Linked DNA regions of Lepisosteus oculatus. The protein of the gene in region 1 purifies or fractionates together with the protein of each later gene. This does not show direct contact. Links are inferred from orthologs where the notes say so. Each region holds a gene or a part of one and is shown in the gene's direction. Other genes may lie near its edges.

Region 1 (7,333 bases):
TTTATTCCAGAATCACTTTTCATTTCACAGGCAATACCTGTGGACACAATCTATAAGATGCATGTGTACATTTTGAGTACTACCACGTGAATACAAATGCAATAGTCTAATGTTGGGGGAAGCTGGATAACCTGTGTTCTAGAAGTCAAATGGTGTTCATGACTGTTCATAAGAGGTGGTCTACAGTATTAAATCAACAGTAAACAAGTTCTTAATGACCCTGGATCACTATAGTTTATGTTCTCAAAACAAGTGGAAGGGATTGCATAGAAACTTATTTGCTTGTTACCAAATGTCCTTTAACAGTTTTAGGAATTTATCTACTGGTCATGATCCTGAAGAATTTATCAGAAAGCTAAAGCTGTTATCTCAATAAGTAGTCAATAGACTTTACATAATCGAAAGCTATGAATAACTAGTACTTTTTTCATAGCATGGGAACTTAACCCAAGGTATTTTCTTTTGCTTTCCCTTCTGATTCTTTCTCTTGTGAGAATGTACACAGCGATGTGAGGACTCAAGAGACAGCTGCATAATGCCACCTAGTGGTAATATGTAAATCGTGACCATGTTATACACAATGTTACTACAAGGAGATACAAGGTTTGAAATCACTAATGAGGCACGTACAGTAAATGACTGCTATGTCACTGTATGAATGCTTAAGATACAACACAAGGTCTGGGAAAGGAACATTAGTAATCCATTATTTATTTTTATAAAACAGTAGTGAAGCAAATTTAACATGAACTTAGTTTCAATGTTTATATTGCAATTCAATACAGAAAATATGAAGTGGCTTCCCCAGTGTTCAAGTCGATTATTTAAAAGAGCTCCATCCATTTCCCTCTCTTTCCTGCAGCTGTGTGAGAAGGATGTTTGACTACACTGACTACATCAGCTGCAGCAGGGCATTATTAGGTTCTCCTTTGATACACACTCCAGAACTCTGACGTTTTTAAGTAAGTTAAGTATGTTTTTTAGGTATTTCACTCGCTCGAAGGTCTTCAGAGACAGTTTGCAGGAATGCTCTGCTGAGGCCCCAGCTGGGATCAGGGTCAGTATTTCCACACTACTTAGACAGTTTTGAAGCTCTGTGCTGGATTTTGGGTGCCAAGGGAACATGAGTACGAGTGATTATTTGCTCCTATCTGAATCTTTTTTTTTTCTGAGACTTTTGGCTGCCTTTGTTTGGTATTGCAGCACTCAGGAATTTGAAAACTGAGTAAGATCAAAAGGTGCAGTATAATGATAACCTGTTCTATTGAAGACCATGCATTTGCAATAACTGGCGGAGCGGTGGCCCTGTGGCTCAGGATCTGCACCTGTGACCGGAAGGTTGCCGGTTCGTATCCCGCGGCCGGCAGAGGAATCCTACTCCGTTGGGCCCCTGAGCAAGGCCCTTTACCCCAGCTGCTCCAGGGGCGCTGTACAATGGCTGACCCTGCGCTCTGACCCCCAGCTTCTCTCCCTGTCTCTGTGTCTGTGTCTCCATGGAGAAAAAGCTGGGGTATGTAAAAAGACACATTCCTAATGCAAGAAATTGTATAGGGCTAATAAAGAAACATTATTAGTTTTGATTGCTTTAGAATCATATCTTTTGGTTTGAGGAACTTTCGCAAAAATTTTGATTCATCATCATCATCATCATCATCATGATCGGCAAGCTTCATTGCGGAGGAGCCGCCCCCATCAGCCACCTTTGCCAAGCCGTGTCCAGGCCTATATCCAGAGGTTTCAGGTTGTCCTCAGCCGTGTGAAGCCAGGTCCGGCCGGGTCTGCCCCTTGGTCTCTTCCAGCCGGCTGGGGTTTCTGAAGCGCCCGCAGCTGTCGCGCGATGATGAAGATCCTGACACGGGGCAGCTCCTGCCATGTGGCCGAAGAAGCAGAGGAATATCGGAGATCGATCAACTGGGAGATTGGTTGGCAACCGGTGGTGCGTCGAACTTCTGCATGCGTTGCGTGTCTGGCATAGGGGATCTGCAGGATCTTCCCCAGGCACCACATGTCGCATGCGTCCAGCCGAGCACATAAAAATTGTGGTCGACCCTAATGCACATCTCCTGCTATGCCCCCAAGCTCTGGAACTCTTTACCCAAGGATATTAGAGAGTCACCTTCTCTAAACTCCTTCAAATCCAGACTCAAAACTTTCTTCTTCAGTAAAGCCTTTACTTAACTGGTTCCATTCTTCACCCCTCTGCTCTTCTTAATACCATCTTCCACGGTCTCCTCTATTGTTATTGTTGTATTGTTGTAATTATAATTGTGTCCTGTCTTGTGAAATTTTCTTATTTATTGTTGTAGTCTTCTTATTTATTGTTATTGTCATCCTGTAAAGCGCTTTGAGAAGCCACCTTTAAAGGCGCTATATAAAATAAAGTTTATTATTATTATTATAATGCGGGATCTCCAGTCATGTCTTTCGAGCTGCTTCATGCAGCTGGGCGCAATTGCCAGTTGTCGTAGTACTTCCATGCTGGAACTCCCTGATTCCTGAATGGTGCTACACAGGTAGACGAACGACTCAGGTTCTGGAACTGCTCAATTGAAACCCAGCTACGGATGAGGCTAGCATTCACACACTACATAGAACATTTTTACGATCAGGGCTGGATTGTGCGACCTAAGCCAGCGCTAGGAAGGCTGATAATTTGCTCCTATCTCCAACCTTTTTTTTTTCTTTTTTTCAAGACTTTTGGCCGCTTGGATGTTGCAGTGCACGGTTCAGGGATTGTATTCCAAAACTGGAGTCAGATCAAAGGTTGTAAGAAAGCCAGTTCTAATGGGTTAACACTTTCAAATGTTCCAAAAAGTTGGAGGTAAGAGCAAATGATCACTGACTTGGGCCCCAGAATCCAGAGCTAAAGGTAAAAATTGTCTAAGTAGCGTGTGAATGCTAACACTGACCCTAGCTGGGGTTTCAAATGAGCAATTCTGCAATCTGTCTCTGAAGCCCTCCAGTCACAAAATATTCCTCAAAGAAAAAAATAGGAGTCTAAAATAATCAAAACTAGGGAAAAAAAGCTCTTGGAAAATCAATAATTCTTCAATATACTGTATATTCTTCAATAAAAAATCATCTGTAGGAAAATTTTCAGCCAGCTGACAAACACTGTTATACTAGCATCATATAAATACAATTTAAACAGCCAATCTCAACGGATTGAAAATATACTGCAGGTTTCCAAACACGTAGCCTTGGAAAGCACGTTGCAGATTTCCTATATTTTTTTAACATTTCACACTAGATCTGAGGTGAGGTCTGGTGTTGTAACCCCGGCGTCCTGGCCAAATTTCCCATTGGCCCTTATCAATCATGGCCTCCTAATAATCCCCCTCTATGATTTGGCTATATTACTCTCTGCTCTCCTCCCCACTGATAGCTGATGTGTGGGGAGCGTTCTGGCGCACTATGGCTGGATTGTGGAGAAGCCAGGGCTTAACCAACAAGGCCGGACAGGCTCGTTCCAGACCCTTGACAGCTCTGAGGGTGAAGGAGTCGGTTCTTTTAAGTGCTCTTCCATGTACAGTGTTTTGCCCTTATTCCCCCTGGTTCGTGTTCTAACTGTTCGTTCTGAAGATGCCTGCTTGGTTCTCTTTGACAAATACTTTTGAGGATTTTCAGTACAGACAGTGCCCCCCCGGGATCATCTCTGATCTCTGATGTATATTCTTCAATAAAAAATCATCTGTAGGAAAATTTTCAGCCAGCTGACAAACACTGTTATACTAGCATCATATAAATACAATTTAAACAGCCAATCTCAACGGATTGAAAATATACTGCAGGTTTCCAAACACGTAGCCTTGGAAAGCACGTTGCAGATTTCCTATATTTTTTTAACATTTCACACTAGATCTGAGGTGAGGTCTGGTGTTGTAACCCCGGCGTCCTGGCCAAATTTCCCATTGGCCCTTATCAATCATGGCCTCCTAATAATCCCCCTCTATGATTTGGCTACATTACTCTCTGCTCTCCTCCCCACTGATAGCTGGTGTGTGGTGAGCATTCTGGCGCACTATGGCTGCTGTCGCATCATCCAGGTGGGGCTGCACATTGGTGGTGGTGGAGGGGATCCCCATTACCTGTAAAGCGCTTTGAGTGGATTGTCCAGAAAAGCGCTATATAAGTGTAAGCATTTATTATTATTATTATTATTATTATTATTATTATTATTATTATTATTATTATTATTATTATTATTATTTAGGGATTCAATGACACCCGCCCGCACGCCAGCTCCCTCGTTGAACTGCAGTTCCCCTACCAGCCTGTTCGCGGCAGGGCTGCGCCGGCGGTGACGTCACGCGTGACGCGGCTGTTGATGCCGGGCCAGCGCGCGAGGGAACTGTTTCATAACTCCGCGGGAAGAGTTGAAACTTACACAACGGAGCTGCAGGCGCGGAGGGACGGGAAAGGTTGCTTGTACATCGCATAAAAGCACATTACTCCTTGACAGGAATATCGGAGAATGCCAACAGCGGTGAGGTCTGTAGCTGAGCAAAGCAAATTTAACTCCGGTTGTATTCCTTATGTGAAATTACAACGAATGAAGGTGAGTTCTCTCATTACAGGAGTTTACACCGGGTTTTTAGCTTTGTTCTTGAGAAATTGTCGCCGATACTGAACCTTGGTGGTTGTTTCTTGTGCGTGGGAGCTCCGACGAGTGGCGGAACAAGTGTTTCTCTGCGTCAGGTTGATCTTCTCGATGATTACGTTGCAGACTTCACACAATGTAGACCACGCCACGGCCGCAGTAGAGCAGATGTAGGTTAATACGACACTGCAAGGATTTGGCTGCGGGTCTTGTTCTGTCTGCTTGAGACGCGTCTGAGTCAAGAAGGCTGCTGGTCTGTACGTGAAACCCCGACGCAAGGAAAGACGCTGCTGAGGAGGAAATGTAGTTACTGTCTTGCCAGGACCGTCTTCTTTCGGTGTACAGAACTGTTGTATCTGTATTTTGAGAGAGTTGTCAACTCGCTGTAAGAAGTCTTGGTGCCATGATTAGATGGGGGGGGGGGGGTTGTTATTTTTGCATCTCGGCAATCGTGGTACACGTCAGTGAGCCCTGCCAAACTCATTGCATATTTGAACTGGTTTTATTTAGTGGTACGTTTAATGTTTGTAATATAGAAATAAGCCGTCCGCTCGAGTGCATTGCGCGGAGTTCCGCTGTTCTTCGGGACCGGCGGCGTGACGTCATGCAGGATCTGGGTTCCCGGCGCGGTGCTCGGAGCTCTCCGATAGCGTCGTCTTTCTTATAGACCTGTCCTGACTTCCACACCCTCTACTGTACCTCGGAAAAAAGCCGTTTCGGGAGCTTACTGTGCGGTATATCAAATTTGAGCAGCATTATGCCATTTTATTTTTAATTTAAGTAATGTTTACCTCGGGAGATGATGTGAATAAAAGCCTCTGCACCGTGACTGTTCAGGAAAGAATCAACCTGGATTCATTCCGCTTTTGCGTTTAAAACGTGCTTGGTTGTGAGGATTCCTGCCACTTTATTATTATTATTATTATTATTATTAGTGGGGAAACTGGGATTGAAATCCCTTATGGTGGTTTTTATTGAGGAATGTGCTCCCGAGTATAGCAGGAGCCGAAAACTTCAGGCTGACGGATCAAATCTGAAATCGGCACGCTGTTTTTAGACCTCCACAAGCGCAAAACTGCAACACACCCTCCCAGCCTGTTAACCAAGTGGAGTAACGTTTTTTTTGGCCTGCAAACATCTTACAGGAGCAGACTCTGCTTCCGAGCCCCCCGGGCGCGGCTGCGGGGAGGAGCGGGGCCGCCGTGCCGAGAGAGGTCCTGCCCAGCAAGCGCCCGATGCGCAAGTCGCCCGGGAAAGCGCACCCGGCCCCGGGGCAGGGCGTCAAGAGAAAGGTAGACCCGTTCGCCCCTGATGGCCAGTCTGTAGCTGATCTAATTCAGCTGTTTCTTGATCGAGCCCCCTCGGGAGTTAGTAGTTAACTGATGCGAGGAGAAGCCAGGGCTTAACCAACAAGGCCGGACGGGCTCGTTCCAGACTCTTGACAGCTCTGAGGGTGAAGGAGTCGGTTCTTTTAAGTGCTCTTCCATGTACAGTGTTTTGCCCTTATTCCCCCTGGTTTGTGTTCTAACTGTTCGTTCTGAAGATGCCTGCTTGGTTCTCTTTGACAAATATCTTTGAGGATTTTCAGTACAGACAGTGCCCCCCACCCTGGGGTCATCTCTGATAAAGAAATAAAAAGGTCCAGTTCCTTCAGTCTGTCAGTGTAGGACGTTCGCTGAAACTCTCAGATGTGTCTGGCTGCTCTTCTCTAGACTGATTCCAGAGCTGCAACATCTTTTCTATTACATGGTGACCAAAATCCGACAGGATATTCTACGTGAGGCTGTGCTAGTGTGACCGTCGCGGTTCCGCGCGGGCTCGTGCCCTCCGCCACCCCGTTTCGTCCCGCAGCACCTGGGGCGCGAACCCGGGTCTCCGGCGTCACGCAACAGGGAACCAGCCCCATGAGCTAAAGGAGACCTCCCTCAGCCCAGGCAGCTGAGGTCCCTGCTGCGCCCAGGGAGGGCGCTGACGTCACCACACTAGCTCCGCTACACTAGTGTACTAGCAAGTTTTAGCATGAAATCCTTTAAAGGTATAAGATCCCAGGGAATCGGCACCCACAGTCCTCAGTTATAGAAACCTCAAAAAAAGTCTGGGGCCTAGTCAGGTCAGTCACGGTGGGGTTTGGTTAGAATCCAAAATCAGGACTCGTAGAAGTTGATTGAGGGTGTTCAACAGAGCCCACTTTTCTCGATCTGCAGTGATTAAAGGGAGATTGTACAGTGACGGAGTCCAGCATCACACAAAACAAATCAAAAGCAGACGCAGCTGATTACGTACGCCTTCTGTGCGTCGCAAAACTGTGCCTTTTACAAAAGGCCATTCTTCTGACGGATGTTTTTGTTATTTGTTATGATATCTCGGGAACCCTCTAATTCTGTCTCTCCCGTGCTTGTTGGCGTGCTCAGCTTCTGCGAATTCATGCTTAGGTGCACGGCCCAAGCCTTTCTTTTTAAAACTGATTATGTTTTGGTGTTGGATATTAAAGAAAAACTGAGCAAATATTCTATAGAAAATGTCCTTTTGCAATAAAACATAATCATAAATAGACAAAAAAATAATTTCATGCTTGATCACAGCATTTGAAGAGATGATAGCCGACATGTTTACTGTGCACTTTGTCGTCTGTCAGGAGAGACATTCGTCGTCGGATGAGCCTGCCGCGTCACGGAGCAGGTCCAGGTCGGACAGCGAGTGCAGCAGTGACAGCGAGTGGGAAGGCCCGGTGAG
Region 2 (7,979 bases), about 44 Mb from region 1:
CTTGAGAAAGTGGAAGTTATGAAAATGAAAGCCAACAAAAGATTCAAGCCCTAGTTTTTATTAACAGAAGACATTTTATTAATCTGAGGTTCATTAATTTTTTAAAAAAAGAAACAGGAATTGAGGGAATGTGGAGACTGGTCCTCATCCATTTACCTAGTGTTGAAAAGTCAATGGCTGCTGTACTTTCAAACAGTTTTAATGTCAAGATACTTAAAAATACAAGAGTATTTTTTTTCTTTTTAATGTATTTATGGTCACTTTATATTTTCTTTTCTGGTGCGAGCAGATCTCTAGTGCAAAGACAGGCACTTTTTGGGTTTTAAAGGGATGAACCTTAGGGCTGTAAAACATGAACAGACATCTTATTTTTGGCTTTTTGCAGCGTGCTAATAGTATTTTTTTTACTTAAATGTATTACTACCTGAATTACATTGTTTGTTTCTTAGGCTAGTACCAAAACAGCATTCATTAATAATGGATTCTGTTAATACCATTTTTTGTTGTTTATTGAAATTATGCATTAAAAATATTTGAAATACCTGATAATGTTGAATGTTGTTTTTTTATGCAAACATTCAGACCTTAAATATTAAAAATAAAACCATAATTTCTGTTCATTTGCACCAAACCAGTTGCCATATACTGTATATTACTATCACTGTGATATGGCATGTGATATACTGTAACACATCACCATACCCAACCCTATACAGTTTCTAAAGGGTAAGTATAGTTACACCCACTGCACGAAATAATGGACATTGCAGAATATTTCTGACTTTACAAAAACTATGTGATGCAGCATATACATCTTGCCTGGCTATATAACAGCAAAATGCAAATTTCGTCGTACCCAACTTACAACAATTGACTGCTGAATGTTAAATAAGATTCTTTGCATTCCGTTTGTTAGATTTATCTGTGACGTAAATGAGGAATGAGTGTAATTTGTTAAGGAAAAAACGAGTATGGAAACATGGTATGATTCTTCAGAATGAGGAAAATATTTAAATACAGCATGAGGCTAGCATTTTACATTATGATGCAACTCTACTACGCAGTGATGTGAGAGAGAGAGCTGTATTCTGTTTTTGCAGCACACTTCAGTCCCGTATGACATCAGGCTTACTAGGCACGAGCGTGACTTCCATCTATTCATTTGGAGTCTTCCTGGAGCGCTTTGGTCGGCTGGACCCCCTCCTCCAGATCTGGGCAGTGACCCTGTCCTGCTTAGTCACTGCACTGAAATCCAGTGACTTTAAATGAGGGAGTGCTGAAATCACGTAGTTCCTAACAACATTAAGGACACGGGGAAACGGCAACTGTGAGAGAAGGCACGTGGCATGAGTGGACTACAAATAGTAAAAGACGAGATTCCCGATGGGAATGCGATTCTCAGCATTTTATGCATTTGGAATGCATGTGATGCATGATATTTGACCTAGATGTTTTACTTGTAAAATACAGCAAAAATGTGAAAATGGCTATGCTCTTGATTTGTTTCAAATGTTTTTCCATTGCACTGATCAGATATAGATCTCCCTCACTGGCATACAGGGCAGATCGTAACTTGAGATCCAGCTCAATAAAAAACATGTCAAGAAGCAAAGCGTCTCCTGATGTTCTGGGCACCTGTTCTTTCTAGCACCAAGCCCACCCTAGCTCGAGAAGCATCATGACCAGAAAACCAGTCTAAATTAATTTTCCTGGAGCGGCCTGATGCAGCTTGCTCCATTAGAAACACGAACCCCAAAAAGGACATTTTGAGTGTAAAAAACACAAGGTTGCAGAAAACGATAGGAAGCTTTCTGTAAGCTCCGCTTCACTGACCTGTAGTCTTTCTCATTCTCCAGCGTGTTGCCGTGTAGAGTCAGGCTTTGAAGGTGAGGAAGAGCCGCCAACTTGTCCACTTCTGATAGTCTGGAAATGCTGTTTCCGTGGAGATACAACACCCGTAACTCCCTGAACTCAGTTAGGATCTGGGGGGGGGCAAAGACATAACATGACTTCATTGGCTTTGACTCAGTGATACTCTAGGCCTTTGGATTGCCGGCCTGTCTTCAAAATGATCCTGATCGCCTCAAAGATCGTATTACTGGACACTGCTTCACATATCTACTGCAATACATTTATCAATAGAACAGGTAAAGAGAAGAAAAGAAAGACAGCGTCTCAGCTGTGGAGGAACCTTTTAACTGTTCCTTTGCTGTCCATGCATGCTGATGCAGCGCCATACCTGAATGTCATTAATCAATAGTGTAACAGAAGTCCACAGTCGTGTTTACTATGCTCCTGTGACCTGCTAGTTCTGCTTATTGTAGTGAAAGGATTTTTCTGTTAGTGCTAGCAGGTGGAACTCTCCACACCTGCTGTGCAGCCAGAAGGAAGCATCACAGTAGCTCTTACTGGGTCGATGGTAGACAGGTCATTGAAGGACAGATCAATCCAAGACAGCTGTTTTGGGTCATCCAACAAGGCAGTAGAGGCAGTGGCGAAATCACTCAGGTTTGAGAGAATATTGTTGCTCAGCCTCAAAGCTTTGCTGCAGAACTTCCCTTCTGGGGTACGATGGACAGGCTTCAGACCTACATTGGGATGCTCTGACAGGACATCTGCAGGAAAGCAAAAGAACAGGCCGGGCGATACCTTGTAGTAAAGACGGCACGGCCGTGAGAGAACAGTGCATCTTTCTGTTGAAATTATTTAATTTTAAGACAAGGACTGGAATGCCGTTAGCAAATATGACTGTAATTTATTCAAGATCGCAAGAAAAAACTAATGCCTTTTTAATCTTAATCCTTGGGGATTCTGTGTCCCATTCCACACACAAAAAAATCTAGCGATGTTTTTTGGGAACAGAACGGAAAACTAATTTCACAGCTACATGAAACAAATTGCATACTGAAGATTAAGTATACATTATGCAGGGAGATACCTTCAGGGATTTAATCATGGATGATGATGCAGGAACAGGATACTGAATGAATTGTATTGCTATCAAACAGCTATTCTTTTTTTTACCTGCCAAGGAACTGAGGCATTTAAACGAAAAATCCACAGGAGGGCCATACATTTTGCGGCCCTTAGGCGCACCTGTAAATAAAACCGACAACAGAACAAAAGGTAACATCTGCCAGACCAAAGTAGCTGAAAGTGATACAGATTATTTCCAATCGCTGTTCTAACTTCTAAAATTGAAAAAAAAAGATTGCATATTAATAGCAGTTAATCACTACATGTCAATACAAACTTTTGAAAACCTCCTAGAAAATTTCGGGACGACAACGACAATTAAAAACGCTCCCATTTACAACATGAAAAAAAGAATAGGTTTCTCCCAAGCCACACAAAAATCTAACACAATCTATTATACCAGAGCAATACTCGTTTCCCCACTTCGGTCATTAAAAACATAACTCACCTGGCACCTCTTCAGTTCCTACCGCAATGTGCTAAATAATACTGCGACTCTGAAGCAACAACACTTCATTTCCATGACGACCGGAGAACGTGGCTTTGTGGGAATTGTAGTACTACAGCTCTGTAACGCTTGTAGGACTGTTCTTGCCATATATACGGAAAGGCTCCGGGCTGCGGCGACCCTCGCCAGGAAGCCACGTGTTCGCTATGGTGCATGGATTGCTTCTACACTACTATTTTCCACCAGTCAGTTTACTGAAGAGCAAGAAAATGCACCACTCCTCGCTATACAAACATTGCACATGAAATCAGGATTGCTGTCATTAAATCACAACTCAAAAGTACACTATTCTCTTCAGCGTTTTCTAATGTTTAATTTGACTCCTGTTTTGCACGAATTCGGTGGTTTTTATAATTGTGTTTACAGTTTTTAAACACTTTGAGATACTGTCACAAAAAGGGGCATATAAAATAAAGGCTATTGTTAATATTGTTAATATTCTGCTGGATTTCATTTGGAGAAATATGTTTGGCCACAAAAAGATTACAAATTGCAGCTCTCTTTTGGAGTTCAGGGATGGCTGAGCCGTCTTGTTGCTTGTTGTACGAAACTGCACCTCGTCACTACAAGATGTCTTCAAGGAAAAGTGCAGCTGGGAGACCTGTAGATGGCGCTATTTCCTCCGAGTTATGGGGAGCTGGGATACAGCGTTGTAGGATGCACTGTCTGGCAGGAGAGACTTAAAAATATGCGTTTTTTTTAGGAAGATGAGTGTTAATCCTGGTTAAATTGGGTTTGCACAATTTTTATATGACCAAACTAACCCCTGAATTTAGCTGGTGAAGTAATTTCTCACTTTTCTATGTAATGAATAACCGGGCTGTTGGTGCTCAGTGACGGTACTGCTGTAGTGTTTTAAGTGAGCCTCCTTTTATATGTGAAGGGTTTGGTATGGAAAATACTGTACTAATGCAAGCAATAATTATTCTTTTTATTATGAGCAGGCTGTTTAAAAGCAAGACGGGTGTTCTTTTGGTTAGGGTGAATGTTGGTTTCTCCAGGGCAAGCACACCATATTTTTATATATTTCTTTGCAAGTCAAAACACTCAAACGTTATCTATTTAGTCTTTATGTTGTATTTTAAAGTCGATAGCTTTATTTCATGAATCAGAAATCGAAATAATCTTTAAACTCCATTTATCCTACTGTGTCGAGTTAACGTAAAGAATATATTGTTTTCATAAGTCAGAACAAGTACTGAAATTGTTAAAACAGTAACAGATTCTTTGTCATTAGAATTGGACAGTGTCTTGACAAATTTCACAACCGCACCTATATAAGGGGATTTTTTCTACTTTTGTTTTGTATACATTTTGGTTTGTATTAAGACAGAAAGTGAGAGTTTATTATTATTAATATACACGCTGCGTTAAACATGCAGCAACTATTGATTTATCCAGTTCACCGCACTGCACCTTGGGTGATGTAACCTAACCTGATGGGATGTGGGCGTGAACTTTACGTGTGCGGAATCTCCTGACGTCGTGCGTAGCCAATGAACGCATCCGGTGATCTCAAGCGCCGAAATTTGAAAACGATTAGACAGGCAGAAGGTGACAGTGAAGGGGTTATGGTCTATTGTGTATTTTAAAGGTAGGTTTATTTTCCCCTCCACCGTCCTGATCACACTTTTTGTAAAACCAATTATTTTTAATAATTGGTTGTTTACTTTGAAAGAAAACTTTTCATCTTTGTTATGTTCCTGACTGCGGGTTTGTATATTTGTTTTCTTGACGGTTAGCGTTTACAGATGTGATATAAAGTTTTGTGTGCATGCTAACGCACACTAGAGTCTTTGCAACCCTAACTATATACTTAGCACCGTTACGGTGGGGGCTAGCTATATTGAAGTCAGTCTCCGTTTGACTGTCGATAAGCAATGATTAGAAAACTGATTAGAAAAGACGAACAACAGAAGTCATTCTAAATGTCTTGTTTGAGCTCTGTCGCATAAGCACAACAGAGCAACGACCGAAATTTGGTCAAAATGTTAATTTGCTGCGTCTGTGATGTATGCGCGGTTGTTCGTGTTATCTAGGATTAAATTCGAAATCGCGTAAAACCCCTTCTTTGACTCGGTTGATATGATCGCGGTTACGAAGGAGTTCCCAGGTTAGCAATCAGAACCACTCGTGAAGTCGGTAAGATTTCCAAAGTGAAATGTTTAGGTGTAAATGTGAAGGATCTCTGATAGAGTCGGAACTCTTAAACTGGGGCCAACAACCCAGGGGAATACGTTGGTTTTCTTTGTCTAGTATATAATTAGACTAGGACTCTAATTTCTTGGTTTAGGGTGTGTCGCCTATTTTAGACGGATTTTCTGTTAGTTTGAAATCTGAAATGACCAGTCAGTGAGTTAATGAGTAAATCCTCCACAAGGAACGCCCTTTTCCCAAACAGGCTTCTGAAATTTCAACAAGATTATCCCTTGATGACGAAGTTTGTTTTTCCTAGTTGCATGTAAGAACTACTATTGCGGTAGCGCGCTAGCTAATGCACAACAATCTTTGCTCAGCATGTAACCGTGTGATGTGGGCCTATATATACTGTATATGTTTTCAGTCAGCTTCGTTACCAATTTGCACCGACCTACACTTAAAGGTCTTTGTTTTAAAATGCCCAAGGTCTTTAAGTAACTTGGTGGTTCTGTGTACTTTTAAACGGTGGACACATTTTTCCCATTGAACAGATGAAACTGATACTGTAACTGTATCAATTAAAATATTTTCGGTGTTATTTTCCTTCTAAACCAAAAAAGAATGACTTCAAGCAACACCTTTAAGAACGGTCTTTTTAAAAATGACGAATCTGAACAGTTTGCTTTTAGTGCATCAAGCATTCAATTGTAAGTTGTTTTTTTCTAAAAGAAAATGTATTGGTTAATATTGAATATTGGAGAGAGACAGCAGAAAGTGAAGTCTGAAGACCATTATGAGTATCGATCCTTAATAACTGACTTTGATTGTATCCATCGAACGTTGTATAATTAAGGGCAGAAATGAAAGGTAACATAATTTAAACCATATGTACATATTATTAAAATAAGTGTATCTTGTTGGGTTCTAAACCTGCTCGCTCACTGATATTTGAGTCCTAGATCGTTGTAGCTGATCCCACTGCTCAGTTTGCTTTAATACTGTATATAACATTACTGTTGCTTTTTCTCATGATGAACAATGATTTTCCTTGTTGTCCACTGGAAAATTGTTGCTTTAGGGTCCTTCACGTGAAGGACTTAATCAGTAGAGATTCTCATTTTCTAACAGAAATGTTTGAATGCATAATTATATTAAGATGATGGTTTGTGTTCCAGTCATGAAATGTTTGTGCTCGTTTATAGATCTAAATAATTACTCAAAGTTTGCTTTCCAGCAAAGCAGTGCTAGTATTTTTGCAAGTGACCTTGAGTGCCAGTTTTGCTCACCAGTTATGCTCCTCCTGCAGGAGACAAGAGAGCCTGTATTGCTAGCAATGGCTCTTCATGAAACAAAAGAAGCTGCTCTGTTGATTTGGGTAAGTGTTATTACTGCTAAAGCTTTTTTTCTCTTTATCCTCTTGTAATGGGCAATATAGGTCTTGGCTTTTGGTGTTAAATTTCATGTTACTAAAGGCATCTGCTTGTGTCAGCTAGACTGTGCTTCAAGTTGTTGTGGCCAAACTGCACTCAAGTGAAATTTTGTGTCAAGCACAAAGCTTTCTTTACATAGGAAACATCTGCTTAGTTTGCCACACATCGATTCCTTTCACAGTGTAGTTTCTTTTTTTAAATTTACACAGTCGCAAATCTCTTTTTTTTCCTGTTTTATCAGATCAACAGCCTCAACTTAGAAGAACCTGTTGACAAGATCTCCAACCTGCAGGATGGCCGTCTTTTAGTTAAACTGATATACAAACTGTAAGTGGCATAGCCTAAACTCTTCAGTTTATGGTAACAGCTGAATGGGCACAGTTTTCATAGCACTAAGTGGGTGCAGGGCTAGAGTCCCAGAGGTGTCAAGAATTCCAATTTTAGTTCCAATTAAAAAAGTTTTTAACTTAACTGAATAAATTGTTTAATCAAGTTATAATAGCTGAGTAAAGTCGACTGGCATATGCGGGGGTTAGATATTTTGAGTAGTGCTTAAATTTGTGTGTAGTCAAATTGTACCCTATGACCTTTATGTAAACTCCCTAGTAACCTCTTAATGTATCACAAGATATTTAGTGTTTTTAAACTTATATTTAATATGATGACTGTATAGGCTTACTAATTAGTTCTCCTAGGCCTGCTTGATGAATGTTTCAGAGAATTAAGTATTTTTCATTTATTTTCCTGAGCCAACTGCGTAAAACTGTAAGTTGAGAGTGCATTAGTTGCAAGTCGACTGTATTTGTGAAACCTGCTGACCTGGGGCACATGCAGAACGGTAGTGCACTTCACTGATATAAGAGTTTTTACTTGCATCCACTTGAAGAATTATAGGGCCCCATGTGTTTGTAAGATGGAAGCAGCAC
Region 3 (7,291 bases), on another chromosome or scaffold:
AAGAAGGGAACTGTAATAAGTGCCATCCTTCAAATAAGATGCTAAAATGTGGTCCTTTGATTAAAGGCCTCATGGTGCTGTTGGTGAAAATACAAGTGTCTTTGTTACTTTCCAGTCTGGGCTTGAACAATCTGACCAAGTAAATGTCTCCTCTCTCCCCCAGATTCAATTAATAAAGCAATTTTTCACTGCGCTGTCTTATCTGCTGTATAATGGGGCTGCTGGCTCACAATGGCTGCCACACTTCACCCTTGTGGGTACTGCACCTCAGTGGGGGACAGAGGGGGTCACTTCTCTTGATTTTAGAAAATATACTTTGGGGATCCCTATCAGGAGTTGCAGCAAAGAGGCTGGTTAGCCACTCCCTATGCCAGCCTGTGGTAGATTAATCCAGGAAAGGTTCCGGAAAGTTCCAAAAGTAACCAAATCCTAAAAACATGAAGCAATGGCGTAATCAAAGGATTGAGCTAGGGTTTCGAGAGCCAAAAGACAATTTGGTTTAAAGTATTTCTTTCCCGAACTACGTAAAGCGAGGGTTGAGCTCGGAAGAGGCAACCTCATTAGTGAGCAGAGACTGAGTGGAGTGAGAGGGTATACTGTAAATACGGAAGATGGAGGGAAGAGTGTGTAGAAAGATAATTGATTAATTAGTGCATGGATGTTAACGGTGAGAAGTGCTTACGTGTGGTTTGTGACAATCCTTTAAAAAAGTAGTGTATAAATGCAAGTACCAACTATTAACTATCAATCACTTTTCTGAGTGTTTCTTTACAGAAAGAAACAACGTATTGTGCCATAAGTACAAAAGCAGTAGGTGCTGAAAAGTGTTCAGAATTAGTTCCCTTTTTCTTATCCTGTTTGCCTCAGAGCATACCAGTATCCACATGTTGATGGGACAGGACAGATGCTGTCTTTGCTGTACCAAACTGGGTTTTGTCATTGGCTTCAAATGAAAAAGTCACCCTCGGAAGAGGCCACAGATCTTGTTGTAGTTACAAAGTAAAGTGTTACATATCTGGATGTTACACATTGCTTGAGATGAATATAGTCTTTCTTTAAAGGAAACACTTTCCGGTGCAAATGAGAGTCCTTCCTAGTTCATGATTTTCACTTATTAAAGTGGTCATTTTGTGCAAGTTTTGAAATGAAGTAAAACTAAGACATTCAATTAATCTTCCATTAAATGTCTTTTCATTTACCATATGTAATCTAACCCTGCTGCAAAGATCAGAATGATTAATCTAATCAGTTTAACATAATGTGAAGGTTTCTAGACATTCAAAATCCAACCTCTCAGAGCAGGGTTGTTACACAAGTGGAAGACTGCTGGTTAGAATCCCGACATCTTGCTATTCTAAAAAGTTCAAAACACAGCAATCAGAACAGCAGGTCCTGTAACTAAGGCAATAAAGTTTTACATCTGTTTTTGAAGGACACAGGAGATGTATCTCTTCAATTAACTTCTGTCTACTTCAATGTTTGTATACATCTCTTAGTACCCTCAATTTTGTAAACACCATATTGTTACAGTATATATGTATAAAATGACAGTGCTGGAGACACATAAATGGGTTAATTTAGGATGAGGTGTAAACTGGGAGCACTTAGTGAGATTTTTGTCTAATTCTTTTACATGTTCTGTTCCTTTTTCATGTTTTTGTGTATGGTTAAAGGAAAGACACTATCAGGGAGATTGATCAAGTCCATGTTTTGTCCTGTTGTACATTTTATGTAATTCTAAACTGTGAGATAATGTGTGAAATAAAGTCCACCAGCTTATATAATCTTGTATCTTTGTGTTCTTTTGTTGGTGTAGCCACAAAACTAAACCTTCCACGTATGTTTTCTTATTTACTTTAAAATGTAAACTTCAAGCATGTTCTGTGCTGGGGTGGAATTAATCCCCTCCCCCATCTCCAGTTAGAACAAATAGTGCAGATCCAACATTTCACTGTGGGAAAAATGCGCTGCACAGCAATGGAACAGGTATCTCGTCACAGTCTGGAACTGGATTTGCAAGGAGAAGAAAAAGGCGGTCACATGGGAAGAATTATGTCATTTCGTGGTCTCATGGTGATTTTAATTCAGCAAAGGCAGCGACTGAAAACAGAGAAACTGGCTGATCTTCAAAGAAAACAAGAAAAACTGCACCAGAAAATCAGATAAAGGACAGTATGACATGAGACATAAACATGAGCTTAGACGTGCTTGTACCAATATTCTATAATGAAATACCTACATTATGTTGTGAAGAGGTGGTACCGACCTGCTGCAGAACTGTTAATATGTGTATTGCCAGAACTTATGTTTTCATTAATCAACTATGCTTCATTTATTTTTTCTCTCTCAGAGATGTATCCTATTCAAACTAGGACATCTGCTGTGAAAGATTTGAATATTCAAAGCAAGTGCCGGCTCAGAACCAGCGTGCAAGATGACCGTGCCAAAACATACAGTAAATGGCTCTGTGTGATGTGGGCTTTTGAGGGATATTGGACTCATACAGGAAAGGGTGCCACACACTGAAACTGAGGTCAATGAAGGAAAAAGCTGAACAATGTGCAAATAAAAGAGCAAATGCAACAACACTTGAAAAACTGCATGAATCAAAATGATTACAGATCATCTGTAGATAGTTGTCTCGTTTAAAAATTATACCTGTTCCATATCTTATGATGTTTTTCCCGCCTAGCTATTACAGAACAAAGAGCTTCTATTACAATTTCACAATGCTTACTTGATTGTCTATCTGTATTACACAGGAGTAGAGTAGGGACTGGCAAACACCAGACCTTCAAATTTAGGATCTGGTACAACCAATCCTTTGCATGCTTGATTGATAATCCTTAATTCATGCATTGAAAAATGGGAGCCAGAAACCTGCACCGAAAAGCCTGGTATTCTTTCACCCCTGCTACAGAGCATAGCGCTTCATCGGTGAGCTTCAGAGAATGCTGCAAGGAACACCTTCCCAGCTGGCTTCACAACCACCTAAAGAAGCTGTCGTGGCTGAATTGCGAGATACTCTACAGCCTGATTAAAAAGCCAAACAATAACACAGAATTAGACAGAACATAAAACAATTCAATACATACGAATTAATTTCTCTTTTGAAGAAAATGTAATGCTTTAGACAGTTTTAGCATTTTGGCACAGTATAGATTTTTTTTAGATTGGGTTATATACAGAGTCGCATAACATAATTGTAAATAATCGAAAAACACATTAAGTACTTTAATTGCAAATACTGTACCATTACTTTAGTGCTGTAAATGAAAAGAAAAAGAGTAAGCAAATATATATTTTACCAAAAAGATCAAATTTACTGACCTTATTACCAGAGTAAAGTTGTTGTTTTTTTAATTTCGTAGGTCAGCTTCTGGGTTTACATCAGTTCATTCTATAAATTCTTGTGAACATATACAGTACAGTACCACCTTCACCCAGTTAGCAGACCCGTATTAGGAGAAGGAAATATTACCAAGCAAAATATTTGCCTGTGGCTCCACCTAGTGTTCCTTAAAATAAAATAGAAAACCAAAATACAGTGTTAGACAACTCCAGTCGTCGAGAGACGGTTGGTATTCCAACAACTACAGCAAAGGCTTCTGAAATTATTAACTTTAGTGAGCTCAATGGGTAGCTGCTTCATGCATGCGTACTGACATTTACACTGAGAATTTCACTTGAAGTGAAACTGTCCCAAAACACTTGAAAAGGTCACTTTGAAATCAGAAGTAGGTTGAATATTAAATGTACCTTGTTAACGTGAGTAAATGTTTACAAGGAATTATCCAAAATAAAAAAAATTGTACTCATCAATCATGTTATTTCTCATGAAAATAAATACGAAGTTCTTGACTGAGAAGTAAAAATATATTTTAACTTTCTCCAAAATATTTTGTAGTGCATGATATGCATATCTACACACGTGCAGCTTCGTTTTACAGCCTGGGCTGATGACGAAAAGTAAATCTATGCACATGCAAAAGGACTCATTTGAGCAACTCTGCATATATACTGTATATTAAACGAAGGGGTCTTTCGGAAAGAATTGATAATGTATCTTTCGCTAATTCAAGTTTTTGCATTGCATAAACTGAATATCATTGTCGAAGTAAGCAAAAACATCGAAGAAATATCATTCCATGTAAACATGTATATTCAAGTCAGGTACAACCACGTGTAGCTAACAACATTCAGCTACATCAGCACCCCGATGGCGGACATGTTATTGGCCGGAAGTTGACGTTCGACGTCACTTCTGAAACTGGTCTGCAGGGAGAATAACAACAAATGATACGGAGAATGTTATGAAAGCTTCAGGCATTGTACAACAAGAGTCTGGGGGAACTTCCTGCAAAATGAAAGAGGTTACATAAGTTAAACTCTATGGAGTGTGCGCACGGTGGAAACCGAAGTTCATTCGAGTAACGTCGGTCGTGCATGTTTTTATTTGTGTTGCAACTAAAGTTCCTGCAGCCTGTTACGAGCATGGCCAACAAGCGAAAAGGGTCAGTTGATGCCGCCGCAAAAAAAGATAGCAAGAAATGTAAGCAGGTCACAAAGGGGAAAGAGCAAGAGACTGTTAAAAAATCAGCAAAAAAGATTACAGGTAAGTTAGCATGGTAGTGATTCTTCTGTGCTGTGCTATTCTGTAATCTATTGTGCATACCGGTAACGTTTTACATATATAAAAAATGCATGAACAGTTGATTTTGTTAAAACAATCGTGTGTATCTCGGTATCTTGAATTAAAATCAGTTTTTTTTTTGTTTCTAATCAGTGAGTTTAAACAGCGGCTATTGTTTTTGTTCGTCATGAAACTGATAATTAACATTAACGTAAATAACATGGCCAGGAATTGTAGTAATATAAAATACAATATGTGGTTTCCGTGGAGTCCGAAAATATACCGTTGAGATGTTTGCAGCACATCCTGCAGGTGGTGGGGTTTTGATGTTTTAAAATGTTTTGCGTTGCAGAAGCAACCCCCTCCCGACCTAAATGCAAATATAAGCACTCTTCTCATTCATGACTTCAGATTATGAAAACGTGGGTACGCGAACAGTTACGTGTAGTACCAAAGACCTGGGTCTTATTTCGTCACACAACTCTTCTTTTGATTCAGAGGATGGGCGCCCTAAAGGTGATGCTCCGAAGGCAGTAGCCGCAAAGAAAAGCGCGACCAACTGTAAAAAAGTGCCTGGGGCTGCTGCTAAAACTTCAAAAGCGACGAGTAAACGCCACAGAGCGACCAAGGGAGTCAAAGAAGAGCCTGCACATATAAAAGAAGAAGATGATGATGATGAAAAAAATCGGTAAAAGTCCGAGTTGCTCAGTATCTCTCAACAGGGAGTCGTTCCCAGTTGACATTTTAATGACTCTTGGCATACAGCTATGAGAATGGAATGGTGGCTTGTTAACACTCCTGAGGTTTGTCATCTTGGAGGAGGAGTGCCTAGCTTTTCGGTGTACTGCAAGCAAGCCGTACTATTCAAGCTGGGTGTACAGAATGAGGAGTAGAAGTGCTGTCTGCCAGTCTTTAAAATCTCTTTAAGACACACCCACAGTGCTTGGCCGCGTGAAGGAGTGGTCTGGGATATGACTGATATGATTCGACTTGTCCCGGCGAGCAGGCACGTGCAGCCCAGACAGGAGGAAGGCAGCAGTCAGGCTGGCTGGGGTCGTGAGGGAGCCGCGGTGGTGGTGAAGAAAGAGGAGACGGACGAAGACGAGGAGAGTGATGAGGACTGGGAAGATGTTGAAGGTAAGCCAAACAGCATGTATTTTTTATTTTTTCACTTTTTTTATTTTTAAGTGGATTAACGTGTACTGGGCAGCTCTGAGGGTTGCAAAGGAGCAGGTATCATATACTACAAATGGACAAGTAAAGGTTTATTTCATGCTGAAAAGAGAAGAAAAGAAACGGAACGTTTCAGCCTTCATCGGGATATGACACCTGAAGAAGGCTCCACAAAAGAAACAACGTTGTGTTTCTTTTCTTCTTTTTTCAGCATGGAATGAACGTTTACTTGTTCCGTTGCAGCCTACACATGGTGACACAGCTACCTATATGATATACTGTAGTCTTCAATGGAGACTGTGAGGCAGTACAGTATATATTATTTGGTTTGAAGTGTTAAAGTCATTGCTTATGTGTATCTAGGTCTTATAAGAGCTGCCTATAAGTTCTGCAAACCTCAGAATGACAATGTCATGCTTGAAAATCTAATGTTAGACTTTAGTTTGCAGAGCATATACAGTATGGATACATTTCATTTCCTGGTGAAATTGCCCTTCTCCTGAATTCTTGTGGGTCTGTTTGACCAAGTGGAAGACCCTGTTGGACCCTGTGGTATATTTGAAATAATTGAATCAAATGGGTTTCTGGCCTAAATGGGATACACTACTTTTATCTCTGTTATATTTTAAGTGGAAACAATTCTAACCAAATTCGTTGGATCAGCTCATTTTGAGTAAAATATAGTACTAGTGCTCCGGACAATCTCTACATTACCTGTAAGGAGACCCTTAACCATAAGCGATGTCTCCTTGTGTAAGTCTGTAGCAATTTCCAGGCTGAAGTCCTTGTTTCTCTGAACTTTCTTCACAGAACTCAATGAGCCTATGTGTTCTTCCCTGGGCCCCTCAGAGCCAGCTCTGCCCTCTCAGCCTGTGGAGATAGAGATTGAAACCCCTGAGCAAGCCAAGAAGAGACAGAGAAGGCAAGAAGCAGAGCCTGTTACAACTCTAGAGCTGCATGGACAAACATTTATACAGCACTACCCTCAATTACACAACAGTAATAAAAGTGTGCCACAAAGCATGATTTTACAGTATCTCTTGCTTCTGAAGGGTATAGGTTCACATTTGAAAAAGGATTTTTTTTTAAGCTAAAAAAAGTAAATATTTTATAGTGGATGTTGGAATGAAAGTACATAATGTACAGACAACTTAACACTTTCAATACAAATTGCAGGCAGCACTTACTGTATGTATTTTTGGTGAAAAATATTTGATTTGGCCTCTTTGGAAATAAGTTGGCATGGAGGAGGGGCAGTTGGTTACTGGCACACCTGGACCATCTTTCTGAATGATGCTTTCACAATCATTTGATTGTACAATTACAAATGTAATTAATCGCTTGTTGTAAAGTTATTCTATTTCTGTGTATGTGCATTGCTGTGTCCCTGTAAGTTGATGTGTTAGTGACAGATGTGGTGCTGCATTGGCAGGGAGAGAAGAAAGGCAGAGTTTGAGACGTACCTTCGCCGGATGATGAACCGCT
Region 4 (7,171 bases), on another chromosome or scaffold:
ACCAACCACAGTTACCCGCTACACAGCAAGGATCAGACAGAGATCTTTGGCAGATGTGTCCTAGTACAGTAATTAAAGTCAGGAAATATACTGTAAATGTGTGAAAGATATAAGAAGATATACTGTAATATTATCTTCCAAACTTTCTGTTTACATGTACATTTTAGCCAAAGTTCTTGAGATTTGTTTTACTTGTTTTATCAATAGTGAAGCAAAGAAAAGAGTATAGTTCACATTTCTACATTGTGAGTTAATAGAAATAACCACTTATTTCATCATCATGCTCTACAATATGATCTTATATCCTCATCTGTGATTCAGACAAACCTCATGTACTGTAGCATTGAGTGCTGACTAAAGTTTTCAGATACAGTAGATACCCAGCTCTTGGAAGACTGACAGACCTTGCTCAAGGTGGACACATTTAAACCATTGCTTAAGCACTTATTAAGGGAGGTATTAACATGTCACAGGAAAAATGAATAAGCCACTTCACATTGCTGAAGATTTAAGGATCTGGAACAGTCTTTGTTAGTGCTGGGAGTCTGAAGATAGAAGAAGACTGTCACGAAGTGTTTTTCAGGACCCTATGCAGATGGCAGAATCTGGAGGGGAGTGAGACAAACACAGGGAAAACGACTAGGATTGGGGCTGGAAGAAAAACAGGGGGTGTCAACTCTCAGATGTTGGTGACCACCGGGATCTCCAGAGCATTAGTATCTCACCGTCCTTGAAAATAACACTTCCATCACCAAAACATTCTGCAGTAAGTCCAGTCTGTAAGAATAAATATTTACAGTAATTTAACAATATCATGTATTAAACACAAGCAGTATGTCCTCTGGATACTGGTGAGTGTACAGTACCAGCTACCAGGCAGGACTTATATTACATATATGTTCTTTTTAAGAGTTAAAATTGTATTTTTTATAACGAATTGGATGTCACATTAGATTCAGAAGATAAGATAGACATGTGCTGGGCTTTGCATGCAGGTAGCAAAAATATAAACTATAAATACAAAATGGGAACTCCTAAGCTGGAAACAGCTACTTATGAAAAAGGTTAATGTTTATGTTGACACCTTATGTACATTTTCTATATAATGTGTAAAAGCTAGAGATTAAGATACATGAAATAATGAATGCATTCTTTTTTATGCCAGATATTTAACAAATGCAATTGCATAGCTTTGGAGCAGCATCCCTTCTTAAATCACTCAGCATGTATCAATTTGGAGATTTCTTCCTTACTAATGTATTGTCTCATTAGCTTTAAATACTTGGAAGCAGTGAGGCAGAAAATCAAGAAAAACTCTGGTGCTCACAAGAGTAAGTCTCACCGTGTGGGCTGAGGTAAGGCCACAGCCATTCGATGTTGATTGGCTAGGAGGAAACAGGAATTGACAAGAGACTACTGCACAACCTTTGGCTAAGAAAAAAAAAATAAAACTGAAAAATGTCAGAGCTCTGAGAAATTAAATTACAGCAGCAGCTCCCTGTGCCCAGATCACTGTGGTTAAAAGAGGAACAATGGCTTTCTACTTTCTCATCATTCCTCTCAAACTGAGTCATCTGTGGAATTTGGTTACTCAGTTCTGTTCCATTCATGTGTAGGATGATTTTGCCCTCTTCTCCCAATTTCAGGGAACCAAAACGTTTTTCTGAGGTTTTAAAGCATTTACTGGGCAATAACATTACAAGTTCTCAAGCTATCTGTAGACCAAGCCAGACAAAAAATCACCTTTTAAAAGCAGGAGAAATATGAGCCTTCAAAAACCTCATGTGTTAGTGTCACCTTTTACCGACCGCTGGAGAAATAACGACTATACTGTAGGGATGAAAGCTGTACTGCACAATCACTTGTATAAATCTATTCTGGAATAGATTTTGCCTGTTTATGAGGGCATCTGTAAATTAAACTTTAAATACAGACTTCAATAGTTAGCATATAAACCATCTGAATTCCTGTCTTTGGTTGCATACAGTAAATGTTTTACAATGCATTGTTGTTTTATATGGACACAAATGTTTGAGAATCTTATGGTGTAGAGTATCGTCATATTAAAGGGGAAAGTTGGTCAATGGTGAGTATGATAATTTAAGGACTTATGCTTTACTTTTGAAGAAAACAACTTGCAACCTGTGCAAAGTATTTAAATACGTCATAAATATATTCACTTTTAGTTGTGGTAAGGAAGCATGAAGATTTGATTTCATCAAGTTGCAGAGTAGAAGAATCTTTGTAAAGATGCCATTGTCTATTCACTCAATGGTACGTAATCCTCTCCTCCTGCTCATGCTGTGTACTGTATAAACAAATGTCCCAGAATAAATTTAAAACCTTTGAGATGTGAGCAAATCATGTAAAACAACAATCAAAGTTTACCTATTGAAGTGAAACAAAATGGGGTGATTTAACATTAAAATAAAACCCACTGTTTAAAATCCATAGAGGACAAAACATAACCCTCTCCTCAGCATAGAAAAGCCACTAGAGGACTCTCTGAGCTTATAAATGCTGGCCAGACACACCCCCACCCCATATTTAGGAAACAGGAAATTGGCAGTTGGTTTATATTGCAAACCTACAAACTATGAATAAGGGAAGTAATTCAAAACCAAATAAAGGTAAGTACACTACAGCAGCTGACTGCAAATACAGCACTGTATATACACACTACAATATACTGTATATATCATAACTTTAACAATAATGTAACCCACATTCAGCTATAAATACAATTGTTACTAAGTTACACAATGCAGTAAACTCATATCCTAAATATGGATCACTACTATGCGTTCTGTAAAATACCACCTAACAGCTACAGTAAATGCTTTGTACTGTATATCCACCAGAATACTGCATATTGTCAGGTTATTTTGAGGGCACATACATTCTCTTGTTTACCTCTCCAACAAAATTCTCATACAGTACCTTCATCTTGATTTTTTTTTTCATAAAGGTGCATTGACTTGGTTTTCTGTGTTAAATTCTGGCTAAGCAGGGATTTCTTTTTTGCCTAGCCTGCATGGTGCCTGTGTTTTTGAGACACAGTCACAAAAGGTTGGGCAACTGCTGACAGACATACATTTATCTACAATATCACTTAACTACAAAACAAGGTGCTTACAGATGGTCTCCCCTCACTGTCCTCCCGTGACATCAGTGAACGGCAGTCCATTGAACCCCACGAATGTTAGATTTCAGATCTGAAGGCAGGTAGTAATTACACAAGACCAGATCTGTAGGGTAAGACTAGTGTTCACAAAACAGTGGCTTGACCAAAATAAAATATGACAAGCACATTGTTGTGAAGCAATAGCATACTGTTGGGCAACACAACACCCCCCCCGTTGATAACTTGCTTTAGTTTTTTCATCAAAATTGTTTTCATAATATCCTGTTAGTTGTTTTGTTTATTATGTAAACAGCTTGATGATAATACCAGAAAATGGTTCAATGCAGATCCTTGTGAGTTACAGGTACCCCTTATTCTTCAAATGCATGAACTTCTGTTATGTCTCAAGAGAGGTGAATCAGTGTCTCTTCATCTGTAGAGTTAGGCATAACAGATAGCTGGATCTGCATTACAAAGTGAAGACCTGGAAGTTTCTATTCATAACAATTTTGAGTGTAGAAACATTGAGGTATTTATTTTTCAGAGATTTCGGAAAAGAAAACGGGATTTTGTGGATGATCACTGAAACATTTCCAAAGAAAAGCCAACCTCCGCGGGTACATCACTGATTCTGTTGCATTCATTTGCCATTACTGCGGTCTCAACTCAGGATGAGGAGGCTCCAATATAATCAATACTGCTCTTATCCCTATCGTCTATTTATTTTCTCCTCTTATCATTTTTACTCAAAATACATAAGGGGCAGAGAATTTTACAGTCGGATGAGAAAAAATAATAGCGAGCAACAATATTCTCTGCTGAAATTTCACCGTCCTTCTGTGCCACTGTCAAATATTAATATATTAATCTGTGCAAGACGAACTCGTTCGGCCCTCGCAGACGGATCTATAACGCTAAGCAAACAACGAGAGTTAAAAGTGGTTTCTCCTCCCAGTTTAACGTAACTCTCGCACTACTTTTTCCGTTTCTCGCGGTAAACGGGAGGATTTATATTCGTCTTTCTGAAATCTGGTTGCGAACATGCAGTATTGTAGAGGCACTGTTATACAGATCTGTGATTGGGGGGGGGCAACAAGACATTGTGGTTAACACAATGTATCGCATTATTTTAAAACTGCACACTCTTTAAAATAACCCAGCAACATATAAGCCAGAAAATTGTTTTTGCAGCGCGCACATGAGTCGTGGTGTTTCTGTGTGGATCGAAACCAATTAGTCCTTTAAAGATTAAAGCTGGTGTACCGCAGGTGTACACCACACAGCGAAATGACCACGCCGTACACAAACATCTGACCCATATTGTTTGCTTTTTGTTGTTGTTGTTGTTGTTGTTGTTGTTGTTATCGAACAATTCAAAATACATTTTCCTTTAAAGGCTAAAGCCGATTCAGAGGTCTTGGCGCTATAAGAAGCAGGGCACTTATTCGCCTACAGAGATAGACGCTTCGGATTTACGATTTACTGTAGACATCTTCTTGCAGAAATAGGAGATTGGTAGTACAGCTAGGGGGAGATCTGGTACAGTATCTAAAATCAGGAAGCACTCCAGAGAAATGTTATTGCACACAGAGGCTGTGTGTCAGCAGAGATCTGCCGCTTTCAACGTTACTAACGCAAGCGAGATTCAGTGATATAAATATACATTTGAGACGCAGTCAGGCGTTTTAGAATCTCCTCCACTGGATTTTTACTTTTTGTTTTTTGGGACAAGAAACCACTGAAGGAAGACTGGAACGGGGAGATCTTAACAAGATACATTTTAGAGGCATTTTTGTTCCTTCTTCATTTAGCCCGTTTCCTTCATCATGGCTACAACAACCTGTACCAGGTTTACTGACGAATACCAGCTTTTCGAGGAGCTTGGGAAGTAAGCAAGTCTCTCATTATTGGAAATAGATGTTAATAAACCTATGTTTATGTCAAGCAGTAAGCTATTGCACAAGTTATTCGGTAAGCTAGAGGGGTAAGACTGCGCGTTTAACAGTGCTTATGGGTCTATTTGAATTCAGTAACCTCCTGGTGAAAATTTGACTTGAATGAAACTAAATTTAAACGATCTGCGTTCCTTTATGCAGTATATAACCTATGTGCTCTAAATAGTGTGCATATACATGGGTGTTTATTTTTGTTGTTACAGTACATATCTGGTGGACTGCTTCGAAGGGTTGGTCGGTGTTGCATTTGTGTTTTAGACATTCGCTAGTGCAATGCGATAAGGAGTTCACTCTAAGCAGACAAAATAACGTTGTTTCAGTGCCCACCTTATATTTAAAACAGAATATCCCATAACACACGCTGTCTTGATTTCTAGTAATTAAGGTGTATAAAAAGCAACAGGCTCTCTATCCGGCTGTATAATAGTGTGATCATGTTCTTAATGATTGGATTACACGCTTTGCCATATCCCCACACTTGGAAGTAACAGAAGGTGACCTGTAGATTTATACTGTAAGTCTTTGTAATTGCTATTATAGTAGCTGTTTGCTTCTGTCTTAATATGGGACGAATTTAAATTAATCGATGTTGTCTTCCGTCCACATACTGTACAGTACATGGAGACCGTTAAAATGGTTAGACATCCTTCCAAACATACTGTAGTTCTTCATTTTGAATTTTAGTTTCAAATTGATATCATCATTGATATCTCGTTTGTAAATGAAATCCACTGTGTTCATCGCCTAGGATTTTGAACGTTGCTTTTATAAATGCGGGTGGAAAAATGTTAAGCTTGTATTTAAATCCCATGGTTTAAATACGGTTTACGCAAACAGCTGGTATGCTTATGCTGGTATAAGAAGCAATTTACATATTAAATAAGTTTAAAGATATATCTGCTGTACTGCCAGTAAAAAAATGTGTGGGGGAGGGTGCAATTAGGTCATTTTCACTTTCTTCTGTTTGCAGAGCTATTTACAGCCTTACGCCTAGACTTAAGTCCAAATGATGATTCATGGTAGTGCCAAGAGACTTTGAGGTCTTTAATATGTTCAGTTTAACTTCAGATGGTTTAGAAACACAAATGTCAAAGCACAAAAATTACCTCTAATGGGATGCAGTTCTTTTAAACCCGCTCTTTCCCAAAGGCCCAGTCTCTGAGGTCTAATTATTAATAGGGCACAGTATTCCGCAGGGATGTTTCATGTCCAAAAGATATTTTCATGATCGTTCATATTATCTTAAATGTGTATTTATATTTAAATATGAAGGTCGATCTTTTTTGCTGTATTTAATTCCTTTATATGTATAAATTGGATGTTACATATACTGTATACTGTAAATATTATGCCAAGTGATGCAGTGCTCTGTGTCTGTTCTCATTTTTATAGGGGTGCCTTCTCAGTTGTGAGGAGATGCGTGAAGATCTCGACTGGACAGGAGTATGCTGCCAAAATTATCAACACTAAAAAGCTCTCTGCCAGGGGTACGTGCCTAGAAGCCTTTCACGTTTGTGTAGGGTACCTATGGAAATGTGAAAGTGTAGTGTGGAATTGAAGAAACTTTGAAATGAAAAGCTCTTCTGCATGAATCCAGCCAGCACTTCTGTGAAATTACTGAAAAAAATCTTAACAGTGAATGTTTCCTTCCAGTAATGTTGGCAAAAAAGTCCCAGCCATTGAATATCAATAGTCTTAATTGTTTTGTATGTCTCGTTAGGAAATCTTTCCACTTGCCAATCCTCATAAAGACAAGCACCACGATACTGATTGGCTGTGTGCAAATAGTAAGATGTTTTCAATGCTTTGTAGGCTCCTCTGAAGTACCGCTTTATGACAATTGTGGAAAAGGGGCTTTTAGTGAATAGTTAGTTACATAGTAGTTCAGGTGGGTAGCTGCGTCACCATGCATAGGCTGCCAAGGAACATGTAATAGGTTTATTCCATGCTGAAAAGAGAAGGAGGAAAACACAACATTTCTGTCCTGGAGCCTTCTTCAAGGTTACATGGTTGTTAAGTAATATATATATATAACTCTTAGGCTAGTTAAGTATTTCTGCTGTACAGGTCACCGAGTTCTTAAATTTATCAA

What was found.
Region 2: the proteins of wdr76 (region 1) and numa1 purify together in Homo sapiens (affinity purification with mass spectrometry; 3 studies listed by BioGRID and IntAct, with this or other methods). This does not show direct contact. The link is inferred for Lepisosteus oculatus from reciprocal best matches to the Homo sapiens genes WDR76 and NUMA1.
Region 3: the proteins of wdr76 (region 1) and xpc purify together in Homo sapiens (affinity purification with mass spectrometry; 3 studies listed by BioGRID and IntAct, with this or other methods). This does not show direct contact. The link is inferred for Lepisosteus oculatus from reciprocal best matches to the Homo sapiens genes WDR76 and XPC.
Region 4: the proteins of wdr76 (region 1) and camk2d2 purify together in Homo sapiens (affinity purification with mass spectrometry; 3 studies listed by BioGRID and IntAct, counting the BioPlex papers as one, with this or other methods). This does not show direct contact. The link is inferred for Lepisosteus oculatus from reciprocal best matches to the Homo sapiens genes WDR76 and CAMK2D.

What each region holds. Positions count from the first base shown.
Region 1 is NC_090700.1:56,865,690-56,873,022, forward strand, and holds the start of wdr76 (WD repeat-containing protein 76), read left to right. Parts: upstream 1-4,327; 5' UTR 4,328-4,474; coding exon 4,475-4,558; intron 4,559-4,726; exon of another isoform or gene 4,727-4,857; intron 4,858-4,865; exon of another isoform or gene 4,866-5,334; intron 5,335-5,745; coding exon 5,746-5,892; intron 5,893-7,235; coding exon 7,236-7,328; intron 7,329-7,333. UniProt on the Homo sapiens protein: Specifically binds 5-hydroxymethylcytosine (5hmC), suggesting that it acts as a specific reader of 5hmC.
Region 2 is NC_090700.1:12,738,978-12,746,956, forward strand, and holds the start of numa1 (nuclear mitotic apparatus protein 1), read left to right. Parts: upstream 1-4,958; 5' UTR 4,959-5,078; intron 5,079-6,929; 5' UTR 6,930-6,956; coding exon 6,957-6,998; intron 6,999-7,294; coding exon 7,295-7,380; intron 7,381-7,979. Other genes in the region: lrrc51 (leucine-rich repeat-containing protein 51), read right to left, coding at 1,155-1,293, 1,834-1,982, 2,410-2,615, 3,025-3,076. UniProt on the Homo sapiens protein: Microtubule (MT)-binding protein that plays a role in the formation and maintenance of the spindle poles and the alignement and the segregation of chromosomes during mitotic cell division.
Region 3 is NC_090699.1:55,825,653-55,832,943, reverse strand, and holds the start of xpc (DNA repair protein complementing XP-C cells), read left to right. Parts: upstream 1-4,276; 5' UTR 4,277-4,446; coding exon 4,447-4,615; intron 4,616-5,131; coding exon 5,132-5,321; intron 5,322-5,639; coding exon 5,640-5,770; intron 5,771-6,616; coding exon 6,617-6,728; intron 6,729-7,238; coding exon 7,239-7,291. UniProt on the Homo sapiens protein: Involved in global genome nucleotide excision repair (GG-NER) by acting as damage sensing and DNA-binding factor component of the XPC complex. Has only a low DNA repair activity by itself which is stimulated by RAD23B and RAD23A.
Region 4 is NC_090696.1:69,085,323-69,092,493, reverse strand, and holds the start of camk2d2 (calcium/calmodulin-dependent protein kinase type II delta 2 chain), read left to right. Parts: upstream 1-4,159; 5' UTR 4,160-4,950; coding exon 4,951-5,012; intron 5,013-6,471; coding exon 6,472-6,566; intron 6,567-7,171. UniProt on the Homo sapiens protein: Calcium/calmodulin-dependent protein kinase involved in the regulation of Ca(2+) homeostatis and excitation-contraction coupling (ECC) in heart by targeting ion channels, transporters and accessory proteins involved in Ca(2+) influx into the myocyte, Ca(2+) release from the sarcoplasmic reticulum (SR), SR Ca(2+) uptake and Na(+) and K(+) channel transport.